Linked DNA regions of Arabidopsis thaliana. The protein of the gene in region 1 interacts with the protein of each later gene in a biochemical or structural test. Each region holds a gene or a part of one and is shown in the gene's direction. Other genes may lie near its edges.

Region 1 (10,576 bases):
AAAACGATAGATAAGTATCATAGAGTCATAAGATCACATAATTGGGTCATTTAGATAATAGTTGCTAAATATAAAAATTATTTTTCTTATTAGAAAGAAAAAGAGTTTGGGGAAGTTGTATTTGTGTGTGTGCAATATAATTGGGGGGACCTTACTCTCCTGCTTTTGAGATGGGATAAAATTTGGTGTTTTCCATTTGTATCTCTAGTTCTACAATTCTATTGGTTATTTCTTTTGCCTTTTTAAAAAAAAACATGAATAATTGTTTATAAGGTTCGTACAAGTAAAGACTCGAAGAGTTTTTTTATCTGCTGGTGCTTTGTGGAGTCATTAGATGCAAAAAAAAAGGCTAGGGATGATGTGTAATATACGATCAATCTCGACAAATAACAATATTACAATATACTGATTTTGGATTTTTGGTTATCTAGTTATGTATGATTGATCATTTTATTTGAATCACTATGAATAGGGAATGACTAAGTCATTGTAAAATGCGTACAAGCAATAAATAGAAAATCGTTTGTGCTTGTAATTCTACTATTTGACAGATAGATTTTCTTATTTTGCATAATAGCAGGATGAGGAGACAAATTCCATGTTGAGTAATTTATTTATATATATTGTAGATGGTAACATATACAAGAGGATGATTTTCATCACCAACATCTTGCATCTTCGAGTTGCATGATTATTTCCTCGTTCTTATGGGTGTTGGCAAGTAGGTCTGATGTATATATATCAAGTAAAAATATGTTATTTTCAGTGAGAGAATTTGAATTTGACTTATAGTTTTGACTTAGAGTAATATTCAAAATTAGAATGAAATGAAGTTTTTTCTTTCCTTTTCTTAACTGGACTGAAAATTTATGATGTATATATGATGATCATTTTCTTTTACTTTTGTCAAATAAATTGTGAAATAACAAAACATAAATTAAATTATCAATAACTAATTGACAGAATCGCAAAATCAGTTTATCGTTCTAATTCATGGATTACCAACCACAACCTAAAGATACGTATATGATTTTGGTCCTTTTTGGATTATAAATCAACTTTGTTAATTTTGGGAAGGAAGAAGATTAACCTGATCATTTTTCTGTCAAATTATCTTGATCATTATGAGGTTGCTTCTTCGATAATACCGGTTGGCCTTGGCCAGCTAATATAATTACAATAAGTTATCTTTGGATTCTTCCATAATAGGGAAAAAATATTCCTCATAGTTTAACAAATCAATAAAAACCTTTAAATCAAATGTTTGGTAAGAAAAGTATACATTATATATAATTTAACTAAAGTTAGAAAATATTCCCAAACTCATTAAGAAGTGAAACTAAAATAAAATAAGTTTAAAATGATAGTACTTTCTCTTTATGTACGAAAAACAACACAATATACGATTAATTACTTCCAAGTTGTAATAGTTGAGGTTATAATACCTTTCTTTTTTCGGAAAAGGGTTAAAGTTGAGGTTATAATAATTCGTGCCACAAAAAATCTTGTATCAAGTAACAAGAAAATAAATCAATCTTTATCTCTCTCGTATCTTGTGAAATTAATTGATAATTGATAACAAAAAATCAGAAAGAAATACTTCGGTCGGTGGCTACTACTACCTACTTTTCTTTTAGTGATCTTAGCCCAATAACCCCCATGCGAGCTTGTTATTTCTTTCACTAATTGAAAAGTTCTTTTTTTTGTCAAGTATTAATTTACAAACTATATATCTATCGAAATTCGGATTTATCTAGACTTATTATGAACAAAATACTTACTTTCAATGGTAACGTTTTAATTTTTTAAAAAAATTCAGATTTATGCTTACAAAACGTTCATATATACCGTCTTCTTCTTACTGTTCAATGTCTTGATTGATTTTTTGGTGAAAGTAAACTATGGAATTACATGTCTTTTTAAAAACTTATGGAGTTATACACACGCATGCATTTTCATTAATACAACACTAATTTCGTTATAATAAAATGCAACAGACTAGGCTATATTGTGTTTGGTTTGGTGTCTACGCAAGGCATGTGTACTCGTCGCATACAAAACGTAAAAATAGACAGCAAAAAAGAAGCTAGCTAGATACGATAATCTCAAGGCTCAAAAGCCCAAAAATTAAATTGGGCCTTAAAGTTCCGAACATCATAGAACAGGCCATTATACAAGATATCCCTAAAATACCCTTTGCCTTGTAGGATGAGTAAATTAATAAAGGAATTGACTATTAAACCCTTGGGTCAGAGTATATATTCACACCAACCCCAATGCGGAGACCTCGAAGTGAACTCCATTGACGACGAGTGAACGAAAGGAGGGAAGAAAAAAGTTAGGTTCGAAACGAAAGTAAACTAGTTAGGTGAAAAGCGAAACAACACCCACAGAGCAATGGCCCCTGCTCTCGCCGTTACACGAGATCTCACCGCCGTCGGATCTCCGGAGAATGCTCCTGCGAAAGGACGTGCTTCGGTTTACAGTGAAGTTCAATCAAGCCGTATTAACAACACTCTTCCTTTGCCTTCTGTTCTCAAAGGAGCTTTCAAAATCGTCGAAGGTCCCGCTAGTTCCGCCGCCGGGAATCCAGGTTAGATACTCGCGATTTGAGTTTTTTTATCAGTCTGATCTAGATCTTGTTAGTTTGGTGAGAAAAATTGAGGAACTAGATGATTTTATTAAGCTAAATTGAAGTAGTTTAATTGTGATTATGTGTGTATTATGCTCTCGTGTAGTTTGAGAATGGATGCTCTTATAGATCTGTGGTTTATAGATTATTTAGAAGAGTTTTGGAGAATTTAGTGTTTTGGTTTATGTGGTTGTAGATGAGATAGCGAAGTTGTTTCCGGGTCTATATGGCCAGCCATCAGTAGCAGTGGTTCCAGATCAGGATGCACCTTCGTCGGCACCGAAATTGAAGATTGGTGTTGTTTTGTCTGGAGGTCAGGCACCTGGTGGGCACAATGTTATTTCTGGACTGTTTGGTAAGGGTTTGATTTTTACGTCAAATGATGTTTTTTTTTTTTTTTTTGTAGAATAGTTGCTGACATTGTTCCACTCTTGATTTTGTTTTCGGCGTGTTAGATTACCTGCAAGAGCGTGCGAAAGGTAGCACATTTTACGGGTTCAAGGGTGGTCCAGCTGGTATCATGAAATGCAAATATGTTGAGTTGAATGCTGAATATATTCAGCCTTACAGAAACCAGGTACTTGGATTCAGATCCTTCCACAAGATTTGAATTTACACTCCACTAGATGTGGAGCATTAGTCCTTGGTTAAATATACTTGTCTTTTTAAGTCGATGTGGTTATAATTCTTTTTTTGGTCTCAACAGGGTGGTTTTGACATGATCTGCAGTGGAAGAGACAAGATTGAAACACCTGACCAGGTTGAATATTTTTTTGTGGTTTGAAAAGATATTTGTTACTGCTTCCAAAGCCTCTATTTCGTGCAGTGAGTAATTATATATGCCTCTCATGTGCAGTTTAAACAAGCTGAAGAAACAGCAAAGAAGCTTGATTTGGATGGGTTGGTGGTTATCGGTGGAGATGATTCCAACACCAATGCTTGCCTTCTTGCTGAAAACTTCAGGTAAACCTTGCAGTTGAATCTGTTATGTTGAAACTTATTTATCTTAGGCGAAAGTAGTTGTTCTTGAAGATCCATGTGACCAGAATCTTTAATATTTGCTGATTCAGCATTTGACTTATTATCTACTTGTATAATTAGGAGTAAGAACTTGAAAACCCGAGTCATTGGGTGCCCCAAGACCATTGATGGTGATTTGAAATGCAAAGAGGTTCCTACTAGTTTTGGGTTTGATACAGCTTGCAAGGTGATATTCCGTTTTGATCATTTTTTTTTTTTTTATCAATTGTTACATAAGTTATTACATAACCAATCCTTTGCTCTCGTTTCAATTCCTCGTCAAGAATCTAATTTCTTGTTCCACCAGAAGAATTATGTTGGAAAAAGCCTATTAAAAACATTTTAATGCCTATGCAGATTTACTCTGAAATGATCGGAAACGTCATGATTGATGCAAGGTCGACTGGAAAGTACTATCATTGTAAGTAAATGTTTAACAAAATTTCTTGAAGTTGCATCATTTCTATTGTGCCCTATTTGTTTACATGCTGTATCACATTTTCATTGCAGTTGTAAGACTTATGGGTCGTGCTGCTTCCCACATTACGCTTGAGTGTGCTTTACAAACTCACCCAAACATAACCATTATTGGAGAAGAGGTAACGTTTTTGGTTGACTTCAATTCAAATTACCGTAAAGATATCTGAATCTTAATCGTGTAGATGATAGAATTAGACTGCAAATCAGATTCATATTTGTGACACTTTTCCATTGAAGCAAATTATTCATTTCAATATGGGGTTATTGGTTCAGAGAGACCTCACACATGCCTCATTAGATCAGTTTATATTTACTCAACTTTGATCTGGAAATACTTTTTTGCAGGTTTCTGCCCAGAAGCAGACTTTGAAGAATGTCACAGACTACATGGTGGATGTTATCTGCAAACGTGCTGAACTTGGTTACAACTACGGTGTCATACTGATTCCAGAAGGTCTGATCGACTTTATTCCTGAGGTGTGTTGTCATTGTAAAAAAATAGAATCTACTACTTTTAAACCGATTAATATAATTGTTCTTCTTAACTGATGATTAATTTTATTTCATGACTTCTCAGGTCCAAGAGCTCATTGCTGAACTGAATGAAATTCTGGCAAATGAGGTTGTCGATGAAAATGGTTTGTGGAAGAAGAAGCTCACCGAGCAATCCCTGAAGCTGTTTGATCTTCTGCCTGAAGCAATTCAGGAACAGCTGATGCTTGAGAGAGACCCACACGGAAATGTCCAGGTAATTGATCATGGTCCTGTCTCCTCGTACTAAATTTCCACCACAATGCAGTTAGCTTCATCTCTCACAAATCATTATTAATAATACCATGTCCTCATCTCAATAGGTTGCTAAGATTGAGACTGAGAAGATGCTTATTCAAATGGTTGAAACTGAATTGGAGAAAAGAAAGCAAGCTGGTGCATACAAGGGACAATTCATGGGACAGTCACATTTCTTCGGGTAAGTTACGCAATTTGTTCTTTCAGTTAACCAAATCGTTATATAATACATTGCTTATTTATTGATGTGAATAATACAAGCTTGATTTATGGTTTGTAATCAACTTGAATACAGGTATGAAGGAAGATGCGGCTTGCCCACAAATTTTGATGCCACATACTGTTATGCACTTGGTTATGGCGCTGGAGTACTCCTCAACAGTGGGAAGACCGGACTAATTTCTTCGGTTTGTACTCCACCATTTCCACTAAAATCTGTTTTCCATCTGTGATCATAATAGCCTTTGGTAAACTAGTATGTGCTTAGAATGAGATGAGTTAACTTATTGGCGCAGGTTGGGAACTTGGCTGCTCCTGTGGAAGAATGGACTGTAGGTGGGACTGCTCTCACAGCCTTGATGGATGTCGAGAGGAGACACGGTACAGAAATATAAATCAATAAAGCTTACTAAGACACATTTTGAAATCTAGATATTAAAAAATCAGAGTTGATTTCAACTTGCAGGTAAGTTCAAGCCTGTGATCAAGAAAGCAATGGTGGAACTTGAAGGTGACCCTTTGATTCCCTTCCCTTTTCATAGTTTTCGATTGGCGGTTAGATTGTCTTGCTGACTGTCTTTTTGAGCTCTGCAGGTGCACCATTTAAGAAATTCGCATCACTGCGTGAAGAATGGGCATTGAAGAACCGATACATCAGCCCAGGTTTGTTGCATGTTTCTTGTCTTTTTTTGACAAACCATCTGTTGTGTTTCAGATTCTAATCCCTTTGCGGGAATGTTATCGACTTGCAGGTCCGATCCAATTCACTGGACCTGGTTCAGACTCTCTCAGCCACACTCTACTTCTTGAACTCGGGGCTCAATAGTCTCTCGACTAACCACCATTCCTTTGCTTTTCTGCCTTCCTTGGAATTTCGCATCAGTCTTGTTTTATCTTGAATATTACGTGTCCGTAACATTTCGATTAAGTTGATTCCTCTCGTGTTTCTTCAACATATAAGATAATTATAATATTATTTCTCTCGTGTTTCTTCAACATATAAGATAATTATACTACATGGTCTAAATTTACTACAAAGATCTAAAGTCGGAGTCTGTCTAGAAAAAAGTCCTTTGCGGGTCTATTAGGAAAATCGTAAGCTACTTTTTGTCAACATATGCGTTACTTGAATTTTTATGATGTTTTTAAAGTACAAATTTAGTTTAAGGCTAATTATTGTTTCAACACACTAAAAGTCCTGGTAGGCTCTATATACACATCAAGGTCAGATTCTAATTTTAATACAAAGTTCTAAAGTCAGAATTCAAATTTAATACAAAGTTCTTTTGGTTTCTATTAGGAAAATCTTAAGCTACTAAAATCAACATATCGTTACTTGTGAGGTTAACTGTTAAACCACCTTTTGCTTACCAGTAAACCCTATTAAAAGAAAATAGTAAAACCTAATGCTGGTAGGTTCTAGAGATACATCAAGGTCATTTTCATATCAAATTATACCGGTAGGTTGCTTTGTTAACGGGTCTATTATTTGCTTCTTGAAAGCAAAACAACACATAACTTTTACATGTATGTTAACTGTTTATAGATCCTAACTTAGCAAGTGAAATGATATTTCAAGTGGTGCCTTGGTGGAATGTTAAATTGTGATAAATTAAAGATATTTATAAGAAGAAATAAAAAACACTAAGGTTGTTTCTGTTAATAGCTAAACTATAGGACTAACATTAAACGTTAATGATGTTCGAAGTTTTCTAACGAAGAGAATAACAGACACACTGAAATTCAAATAATCTCTCTCTCTCTCTCTCTCTCTCACTATCTTCGTTAAATTCGGCAAAGCTTTCGCTTTCTTATTTATGGAAATTTCTTTCATCCTTTAGTTTAGTCTCTCTCTCTCTCCCTTTTTTGTCAATTCAGAGACAGAGAGGAGAGAGAGACCAAGAAAAGGAGACTTTTGTTGATCATGGGACAAGAAAGACCTAACGACGAAGAGAGACCCGAGTCACGTGATCTTGGGGTCTACGGATGTTCACCGCCTCATTCGCCGCGTCTCGGTCCGACCAGGTTCTACGTCTTTGCTGGAGACCCGAATCCAAAACAAACGATAAAGCGATGCAAGAGGAAGAGAATCCAAGCTTGTAACGATCAAAGAACGGCTAAAACAGCTATTGGCGTTATGGCGATTTTGGGTTTCTTTTGCCTCGTTAATTGGTTCATGCTCTCTCGCCTTCACGAAGGTCGGGTCTGGCTTCGAAGAGGACTCTCTGAGAACCCAAAACATGTTTCTGCACAGGTCCAATGATCGTAATCTTCATTGACATGTTTCCTTGATTACTGACGTTTCTTGCGCTACACTCATTTTCACATACAACAAAAAAAGCTTTTTATTTATAAAAACAGAGAAGATAAGAAAAATGATATCTTAGTTGAAATAAAATATTGTGTTGCATAACTGAATTATTATATGGTGGTAATTGACTATATGAAGAGTTGTGTTTTGTGCTTAAAGTTTCATTTGATCTAAACTTTTTGTTGTGTGAATCAGAATGAAGAGCGTAAAAAGTTTGAAAAACAGAAGATGAAATATAATGGAACATATGGTAGAATGTTGAGTTTGGCTACTGATGCTTTGGCAGAGGTAAATATATTCTTCACAAACCAATCTTATCCTTCCTAATTCTCAGTAACATTGTTTTGTTCTTTTTAATAGGGAATGCGTGATAACCGTTATTGTAATGGTTTTGATTTTGAGCAGAACAAACTTGAGACCAAAGACTTATGGCAGGAGCCGAAGGAACAAGCTTCGGCGTGGAAGCCTTGTGCGGATCAACGTTCTTTGACTCCTGACGGTCTCATTCAATCTCTCTCTTTATAAAATTAGGTTAAAGCTTGTTTCCTATGGAGTTTAACTTGCCTGATTTTTTAGATGGCAAAAATGGATATATTATGGTAACTGCAAACGGAGGGATTAATCAGCAAAGAGTTGCTGTAAGTTTTCTTCTCCTTGTCCTTCAAATTTATCTTTCAAATTCTCTAGTGACTATAAGTCTATAACCAATGGATTTCGTCATAGGTATGTAACATTGTTGTTGTAGCTCGATTGCTCAATGCGGCTCTCGTCATTCCCAAATTCATGTTAAGTGACGTTTGGACAGATGCAAGGTAACTATTGTAAGCTCTCCGTCCTCTATCTCTCATTTTCTAGCCATTTTTGAGGTTTTTACATTTGTAACGATGTATTGAACTTTAATTAATACTTCATATATAGTCAGTTTGGAGATATCTACCAAGAGGAACATTTTATGGAGTACTTGTCGCCCGATATTCGGATAGTAAAGGAGCTACCAAAAGAGCTTCAATCTCTTAATCTTGAAGAAATCGGTAGCGTCGTGAGTTATACATTTCTCCCCAAATCTTGACGCGAACAGTCTCATCTTTCTTCTCTTTTTGTTCATGTTTTGTCACTTTTACCTCTTAAGGTGACAGATATAGAAGTGATGAAAGAAGCCAAACCAGACTTTTATATGACACACATTCTCCCTATACTACTCAAGAACAGAGTAATCCATTTTGTCGGATTCGGAAACCGCTTAGCCTTTGATCCATTACCGTTTGAGTTACAGGTAGACATTTTTTTTACTCTACGCGCTTCTATATATCTCTGATTATAGCTTCTTTATCTAAACCTTTTTGGAAGTAGAGGCTTCGGTGCAGATGTAACTTTCATGCGCTAAACTTTGTCCCGAGGATACAAGAAACTGCGGCATTGCTCGTGAAGAGATTACGGGGCAGTGGATCTTACGTTGCACCACTTGATCTACATCTCCTCGGTCCAAAATATGCTTCCTTAATCTTGGACAATAAGTCTGATTCTCCGGTGCAGGAGGAGGCGGCTTCTTCTTCTTCTTCTAAGTACCTTGCTCTCCATTTACGGTTTGAAATCGACATGGTGGCTCATTCTCTATGTTACTTCGGAGGAGGTGAAACAGAACAGAAAGAGTTGGATTCTTACCGCCAAAAACACTTTCCATCTCTTTCAACTTTAACCAGAAAAAAAAAGTTTGTTCCTTTTACTTCAAACTCAAGCTTCCTTGTCTTCGATTCTAAACCTAATTTGCTCTGTTTTTGTTTCTTTTCTTTATTCAGATTCCGATCTGCGGATGTTTTGAGGACAGAAGGACTTTGTCCACTAACACCCGAAGAAGCCGTGCTTATGCTCGCGGCTCTTGGCTTCAACCGCGAAACCCGAGTTTTCGTAGCTGGTGCAAACATATATGGAGGATCAAAACGTTTAGCCGTGTTAACTAGCTTATACCCGAATCTAGTCACCAAAGAAAAGTTACTAACAGAATCCGAACTACAACCATTCAAAAACTTTTCATCTCAGGTAAAACTTAAACATAGACAAACCATCAAATCCTAAGTAAAAACCAATTTTGTATTAATCTTTTTTTCCTTTGGTTTATGTGTAGCTAGCGGCATTAGATTTCATCGCTTGTGCTGCAGCAGACGCTTTTGCGATGACGGATTCAGGGAGTCAGTTATCATCTCTTGTATCGGGTTATCGGATTTATTACGGAGGAGGGAAATTGCCGACGATAAGACCGAACAAACGGAGACTTTCGGACATATTGTTGAAGAACAGTACGATTGAGTGGAACGTGTTTGAGAAAAGAGTAAGAAAAGCGATTAGACAGACGAAACATGTATTCGCTAGACCTAATGGACGCAGCGTTTACCGTTACCCAAGATGTAAAGAATGTATGTGTCATGCATGAATCAATAATATTTGATCATTTTTTTGTTTTCTTTTTGGGGTCCGGTTTTGGTTCAATTTATCCTATTTTGTAACCTCTTAAGAGTTGAGTTTTCTGTAATGATATATGTTTTTTTTTCATTATATGATTGAAGAGTATATCAAGATTTTGGTGTGCACATGATATGTGAGATTTATATGTTTCTTATTAATTGAATCCTACAAAAATTCAATTAAAACACAATAAAGAAACACTCCTCTAAAACTAGGTCAAAGTTCAGAATCTTCATAGAACCAAAAGCAACCAATATAACATAAGCAAATCAAACAGAAGAAAAGAAAGAAAGAAAAAAATTAGAAAACCAAAACAATTGACATAAACCTAGCTAGTCTTATTGTAACCAAACCTAGATTAGCAACAACCACCTCTAAGGGCAAGAACAAGATGAAGAACACTACCACGTTCTAGGTTGTAATGTTTGGCGGTTAAATCATCAGCAAGTTGTTTCCCAGTGTAGACGATCCTTTGATGAACAGGAGGAATGCCTTCTTTCTCTTCGATTCGTTCTTTGATCCGCTCAATCGTGTCCGTTAGCTCAATCTCAATGTCTATTTGTTTTTCCGTCAGAGTCTTCACTTTGATCTCCATGCTTACTCAAGTTTTCTCTCTCGCTCTCAACCTTGTCTTTTGTCTCTCAAATCAAAATATATATATCTTC
Region 2 (6,249 bases), on another chromosome or scaffold:
TGATAGACTAATAAATCAGTTAGGCCAAATGGTTGAGACATCAAAGTATTTGACACAATCAACTCATTGCTCTATAGTCTATATACCAAATAAGTTCTTACATTGAACATTGATGAAGTTAAAGTAGAAAACACCACATAATTGACAGCCTAAGAACCCTAATCACGTTCGGAGCATTTGTCCGTTAAATGTCGAAATAGCATGCATTGTAACAAAATGGACCCAATATTATTACAATGATAATTCTTATCCTCTCTTTTGATCTGTCTCTTGTCGAATAGGAAGTAATCACTATTAAGATTTGTCACCTTCTTTTGAGTTATCTTTGTCTTCTTGCTTAAAAGCATCATATAGAAGAACATAATAATGGAGAAGCCACATGGTCCAACTATGGCCTAGGGAAACCATCACGTTTCTAGATTTGAGGATAGGGTGCAACAAAACTTTATGTTTCTTCTCTCATCTTTGAGATTACGATTTGGATACTGGTTAGTCTATTTTGGGTCGGGTTTTTTTATTGATGTGGATTTTTTTGATAGATACAACTCATATTTCTTTTCATAATTAGGAAATTTTTGAATATTTATAGTGTAAACATGAGCAACTCTTTGATGATAACTGTGGCGTATCCACAAAATGTAAATCATACAAGTCACTAAGTCGACATTCTTCTGTAAAGTATATTAGCTTTTGAACAAGAATTAACCTTGAAAACCAAAATAATTTGTTATCATTTCAGAAGCTATAACTATTTTGAGTTTGTTCTAATCAAATCTTATTTTATTTTATTTTTCCAATCTTACTTAAGGACCAAAATTTGAACTTCCAAGTGATATACTAATCCTTCAAAACTGGCTTTGGACATTCATAGAGAGACTATAGACCAAATCACCAAATATCTTGGATTTATGGAAAAGTATATGAAGAAAAACCAAAAACCAAAAATCTCAAAATCCTAATCCATTCTATTATTTGTTGATGATGACTGCAAATTTCTTGTATGATGAATTTTAATGGAATAGTTGGGTTCCACAAAATCAAACCTTTTCTATTAATATAAAAAAAATCTCTAAGGACTTTTAAGGTTTATTTAATTAAGGAAACCTATATAGACCTAAATTTTTTACATGTAAAGAATGTATTGATGACATCTAAACGAGGTAGATATAACTGTTCCGTACATAACTAACTTATAACACTTCTCTCAAGTCTCGAGTATATATATATATACACAAAGTGAGAGACTTGAGACAGAGCACTGAACTAACTTGCAACTCTGTTTTTTCAACTTCTACCAGAAAAAGAGAAAAAGAAGCAAAAGATACTTCAATGGCGCAAACTACTGTCACTGTAGTCGCGACCAAACGCGATGCTCTTGATCCTTACATCAAGATTCTTCAGAATCGATCAAACGACATCGATGTCTCCTTCTCTTCTTACCTCAAACCAGACAACAACGAACAACAACAAAAGGAGAATGAAGATACTGAGCTAAGTATCTTCGAAGCTCGAAGTTACTTTAGCGAAAACGGAAGCAACGATAGTCGATGCCAGACGAGGAATCTAAGTGGTCCAAGATTTTCTTCGGTCGCATCTGCAAAAGTGTCTTCTTTTACCGTGGGACAAACGGCATCCTCTGAAGCTAGCTGGAACAGCCAAACCGGTTTGCTCTCTAACAAAAACCGCCAAGGATCGGACAGAGATGGACGTAGAAGCAGCAAGAAAGGACCAAGATGGTTTTTTAGACGCAGGGCTTGTCCATGTTCTAGCTCCAAGTCCGTTCAGGTCCAAGAATCCAAACCAAGAATCGCAGTGCCCAAAACCGGTTCTGACCGAATCGTCTCGAACCGAATAGTTCATAGTCATCAGACGATATCTTCACCTGAGCCAATAAGATTAACGATCCCTTCAAACACTGTGACTCGGTCCATCGATTACACTGCAAACAAAGAAGCTAGAGCTCCAGTTAGTAATTTTAGCTTCCCAACTCTAAACGAAACTTCACAATTATCAGAAAATCCCAAGAATCCGGTTTTGAATCATATTAAACCGGTACGAATTGAACCGGCTCTGCTTCCGATTAAACCGGTTCTGAATCCTACGAGTCCCAAGGGAGTCATCATAGACGAAGAAGCCACAAGCGACGCAAGCTCCGATCTTTTTGAGATAGAGAGCTTCTCTACTCAAACCGCAGCTCGTCCATGGGCTCCACCAGTACGGGACTCGATGGAAGAGACCGTGTCTGAGTACGGTTACGAGCCAAGCGAAGCAAGTGTTACTTGGAGCGTTATGACCGCCGAGCCGGCCTCGGCCGTTGCAGCTAACTTCTCAAGAATTGCCTTGTCGTCATCGTCTACAGCATTTAGTGGTTACGATAAGAAGAGAACCGGTTTGTTGAACTGTCATTGTGAGAAGGCGGTTATGGTTAACGGCGATAAGCGTTTAGTGCAACCGGTTAAGAGCGTTGGTGTTCAAAACGACGTCGCGGGAAAGGTGTTGTGCAACAATGGCAGTTCTAAACTAAGCGTGACGAGTAGACCAAGGCAATGATGGATACCAAATCTTTGTTCTTGGTTTAGATCCGGTTTTCTCCAGTTATCTTGGTGTGTTTTGGATGCTTCTCGTGTAAAATTGCTCTGTTTTTTCTTCTTCTTTTTTTTGGTTAATATAACTTGTGTAATGATTAATGAAGATTATGGTTTGTGAAGTAAACAAAATCAATGTGTCCTGTATTTATCACAATATTGATCACATTTTTTTGTAATAACCGGAGTAAATCCCGGAGTGAAACCCAAACTAATCCTCAATACTTGTATGTTGTATTTAAGGCGTCTATAGTCAAGAAATAGATTCGTAGCCTTGACCCACATAGCGAATCCTCTATCCACTCGAACAAACCAATGGACCACAAAACACTTGGTTATACGATTTCTTTCTTTAGAAACCTCATCCACTACTTCTTTGAGGTCCCATGGAAACATCAATCTTCAAAGATTGTAGGCGGGCTGAATTGAGCAAAAGAAGATGCCCCATGTGTCTTTGTTGTAGGTACATTCAGAAAACAAGTGGTTCTTGGATTCAGGTGCATTACAGAGGAGACAAAAATTTCAAGAATATTCATGCCCCAATTCCTTAATCTATCACGAGTTGGGAACTTGGGAGATGATTCCAAGCCGTTACCCAAGAGATAATAAATGCATGCATAGGAATATAAACAACTTTATGCAATAAACAGACTGTAGTATTGGTCATCGATTTAGTTTTGTTTATTTGTTAAAAACATAATCCAGCATGTGTTTTTATCACATAAAACCAAAAAGAAAAATTCTCAGTTGATGAAGACGTTTAATTTCTGATTAGTCTTTCGTTTACTAAAAGCTTTATCTTTTAATTTGAATGCTTTTTATTTTGTTAAAGAGTTTACCATTGAAAGTTTGATTTCTTTTTTGGGGATATAACTTGTAAATATGAAGTCAAGAGTTAGGCTCGTAGGTGAAGTGAAGATGGTGCTAATAGCATAAATGGTTCGTCTCAAAAAGACTTTTCCGTTGCGTGCACGAAGTATATAGACGGTCCTTTAGGATTAAGGCAAATTATAGTTTGGTCAATTGACATTATTTTCAACAATGTATACGTTATATACATTCGTATATCATAGCATTTAAAGTTAATTAGCTCCTCTCTTCCCTTAGATAGCTAGATGGATTAGGTCTAAATATTTGGGAAAATGACTTCCCTTTTGAAGTTACGTATATATCCAAGTTAACCAAATTAATCATGAATCCATGACTTAGGATTAATTATGTCTTTCTCAAAAGTCTGATTTAAGGTTTAGTTTCTTGCTTGAAAGCATTAATAAGTCAAGAGTAAGCCATTAAAAAATGTTCCATAGCTTAAAAGCAAACTAGACTTGAAAATATAAATACTAATATCGTATGTAACTTGAACTTCACTACACGAAACCTCAATCATAAATACACATTAGCTCCAAAACCACAACACTGCACATGAAAACTAAACACACGTACACAAGAAACCCCAAAACATTTTGCCTAGAAAGTTGTTTAAATTACCTCTTAAACCTTAAGAAATCATATCCAGAAACTCAATGGATCAACAAGGGATGGTCAAGAAAAGACTAGCCGTTCTCGTCGGCTGCAACTACCCTAACACAAGGAACGAGCTTCACGGTTGCATCAATGATGTTCTAGCCATGAAAGAAACTATTTTGTCACGTTTCGGATTCAAACAAGACGACATTGAGGTGCTAACGGACGAGCCAGAATCAAAGGTAAAGCCGACAGGTGCCAACATCAAGGCTGCTCTACGTAGGATGGTGGATAAAGCTCAAGCCGGATCTGGAGACATCTTGTTCTTCCACTACAGTGGCCATGGAACTCGTATTCCTTCGGTTAAATCTGCTCATCCTTTTAAACAAGACGAAGCTATTGTTCCTTGTGATTTCAATCTCATCACAGATGTTGATTTCCGAGAATTGGTCAATCAACTTCCTAAAGGAACAAGCTTTACCATGATCTCTGATTCTTGCCATAGTGGTGGTCTCATCGACAAGGAGAAAGAACAGATCGGACCCTCTTCGGTCTCCAGCAACATATCTCCGGCTATTGAGACAACGAACAAGACTATAACATCACGTGCCTTGCCCTTCAAGGCAGTCCTTGACCACTTGAGTTCTCTCACCGGAATTACAACTTCCGACATCGGCACACATCTACTTGAGCTCTTTGGCCGCGATGCTGGTCTTAAGTTTCGGTTACCGGCAATGGATCTAATGGATCTTTTGGAGACTATGACGGCCCGTGAAAAACACGTGGACTCAGGGATATTGATGAGCGGGTGTCAGGCGGATGAGACGTCTGCTGACGTCGGCGTTGGGAACGGGAAAGCGTACGGAGCGTTTAGCAACGCGATTCAAAGGGTGTTGAACGAAAATGAAGGTGCCATGAAGAACAAGCAACTAGTGATGATGGCAAGGGATGTGCTTGAGAGACTAGGGTTTCATCAACACCCTTGTCTCTACTGCAGCGACCAGAACGCAGACGCGACGTTCCTTTCTCAACCTTGAATTTTAAACGTTTGCGTTGTTTTCTTTTATTTGTTTTATCACGTTTGCCTTTGGGGTTGTTGTAAATTGTTAACTGGTGGAATGTGTGTATTTTCTATTCTCTGTGGTGTACTCTAAAAGGAAAAAGGACATATAAAACTTGTTTAATAACATTTATCTTTTTTAATGGTACAAAAAGGTTTAATTAAAGCTTTTCTAGAGAATGTACTAATTTAGTTACCAAGTCAGCAGTATTGGAGCTAGAAGAACCAACCTCTTGGGTTGAAGAAATGGCAGCACCAGTCATTTTGTGCTGCCATTTTTCAGTAGGTCCCCACAAGAGTTTAACCCTCTGGCCTTTGATGTCAGTCCAGGAGGAGAGCTCAAGCATGGCCTTCTCAGCAGCTAGACGGGTAGTGTAAGTGAGGAAGGCACAGGTGCCTCCTCCTCGGTGGGGGAAGATAACAATAGATTCGATTTCACCATAGGGGCAGAAATGGTCTCGGATGTCCTGCTCGAGGACACTGGAGTTAATAAGTCTACGGATGTAAAGAGTTTTAATACTTTGATCCTCTGGTGGTTTCAAAGGGCCCGTGTTACAAGCTCTTGCAAGCACCTCGAGTACAAATGGGTTTTCTAACCTGCGGTGAAGAAAAATACATGAAACACACAAACAAACAAAGACTCGAGAATATATATACATCTATATATGTATGTAGAATAGCTTACCCAGAACGACCATGACAATCTAAGCCTCTGTTGATCTCATGGCGGTATAGACACATGGTACCTCTTGTACACTGGCGACCAGCGTCGAATAAAGGACAAATTGGTATGCAGTCTAGTTTCCTACTTTTATCCTCAATTTGGGCCATAAAAAACTACATTGAAGACAAACAATCAATATATCACCAGACCACGTAGATACAAGCAACTAGACGAAATTGGTAGCGCTAACTAATTCCTAAAACATAAGAAGAAGATTTACTCCAATATACGTACGTACAGAAAACATCAACATTTAATATGTACTTCGAAATTTTATTAAAATTATATGATTTTGATCAAGTACATGCAAGATTTTACAAAGGCCATACTAGAACAAAACTTCATGCCAGAATTGTTATCAGTTTTGTTAACTAGTTGTCCAACGGATCTCAATGTGAATAATGCCGTTTCTGGAA

Evidence for each region. The genes of interacting proteins can lie anywhere in the genome.
Region 2: of the proteins of AT1G12000 (region 1) and MC9, one has a biochemical effect on the other in vitro, tested with the Arabidopsis thaliana proteins (one large-scale study listed by BioGRID).

What each region holds. Positions count from the first base shown.
Region 1 is NC_003070.9:4,045,549-4,056,124, reverse strand, and holds AT1G12000 (Phosphofructokinase family protein), read left to right. Parts: upstream 1-2,253; 5' UTR 2,254-2,397; coding exon 2,398-2,593; intron 2,594-2,828; coding exon 2,829-2,987; intron 2,988-3,087; coding exon 3,088-3,209; intron 3,210-3,338; coding exon 3,339-3,392; intron 3,393-3,488; coding exon 3,489-3,595; intron 3,596-3,733; coding exon 3,734-3,839; intron 3,840-4,009; coding exon 4,010-4,073; intron 4,074-4,162; coding exon 4,163-4,251; intron 4,252-4,477; coding exon 4,478-4,609; intron 4,610-4,709; coding exon 4,710-4,880; intron 4,881-4,986; coding exon 4,987-5,102; intron 5,103-5,216; coding exon 5,217-5,328; intron 5,329-5,436; coding exon 5,437-5,521; intron 5,522-5,606; coding exon 5,607-5,651; intron 5,652-5,734; coding exon 5,735-5,803; intron 5,804-5,892; coding exon 5,893-5,966; 3' UTR 5,967-6,229; downstream 6,230-10,576. Other genes in the region: AT1G11990 (O-fucosyltransferase family protein), read left to right, coding at 7,065-7,394, 7,647-7,739, 7,857-7,950, 8,028-8,089, 8,175-8,263, 8,370-8,490, 8,581-8,724, 8,802-9,160 and 2 more; RUB3 (ubiquitin-related protein 3), read right to left, coding at 10,270-10,506. UniProt on the Arabidopsis thaliana protein: Catalytic subunit of pyrophosphate--fructose 6-phosphate 1-phosphotransferase. Catalyzes the phosphorylation of D-fructose 6-phosphate, the first committing step of glycolysis.
Region 2 is NC_003076.8:1,149,785-1,156,033, forward strand, and holds MC9 (metacaspase 9), read left to right. Parts: upstream 1-3,955; 5' UTR 3,956-4,108; coding exon 4,109-5,086; 3' UTR 5,087-5,256; downstream 5,257-6,249. Other genes in the region: PKS4 (phytochrome kinase substrate 4), read left to right, coding at 1,330-2,550; AT5G04210 (CCCH-type zinc fingerfamily protein with RNA-binding domain-containing protein), read right to left, coding at 5,271-5,706, 5,795-5,940; SYTC (Calcium-dependent lipid-binding (CaLB domain) family protein), read right to left, coding at 6,201-6,249. UniProt on the Arabidopsis thaliana protein: Cysteine protease that cleaves specifically after arginine or lysine residues. Does not cleave caspase-specific substrates. Required for proteolytic processing of GRI.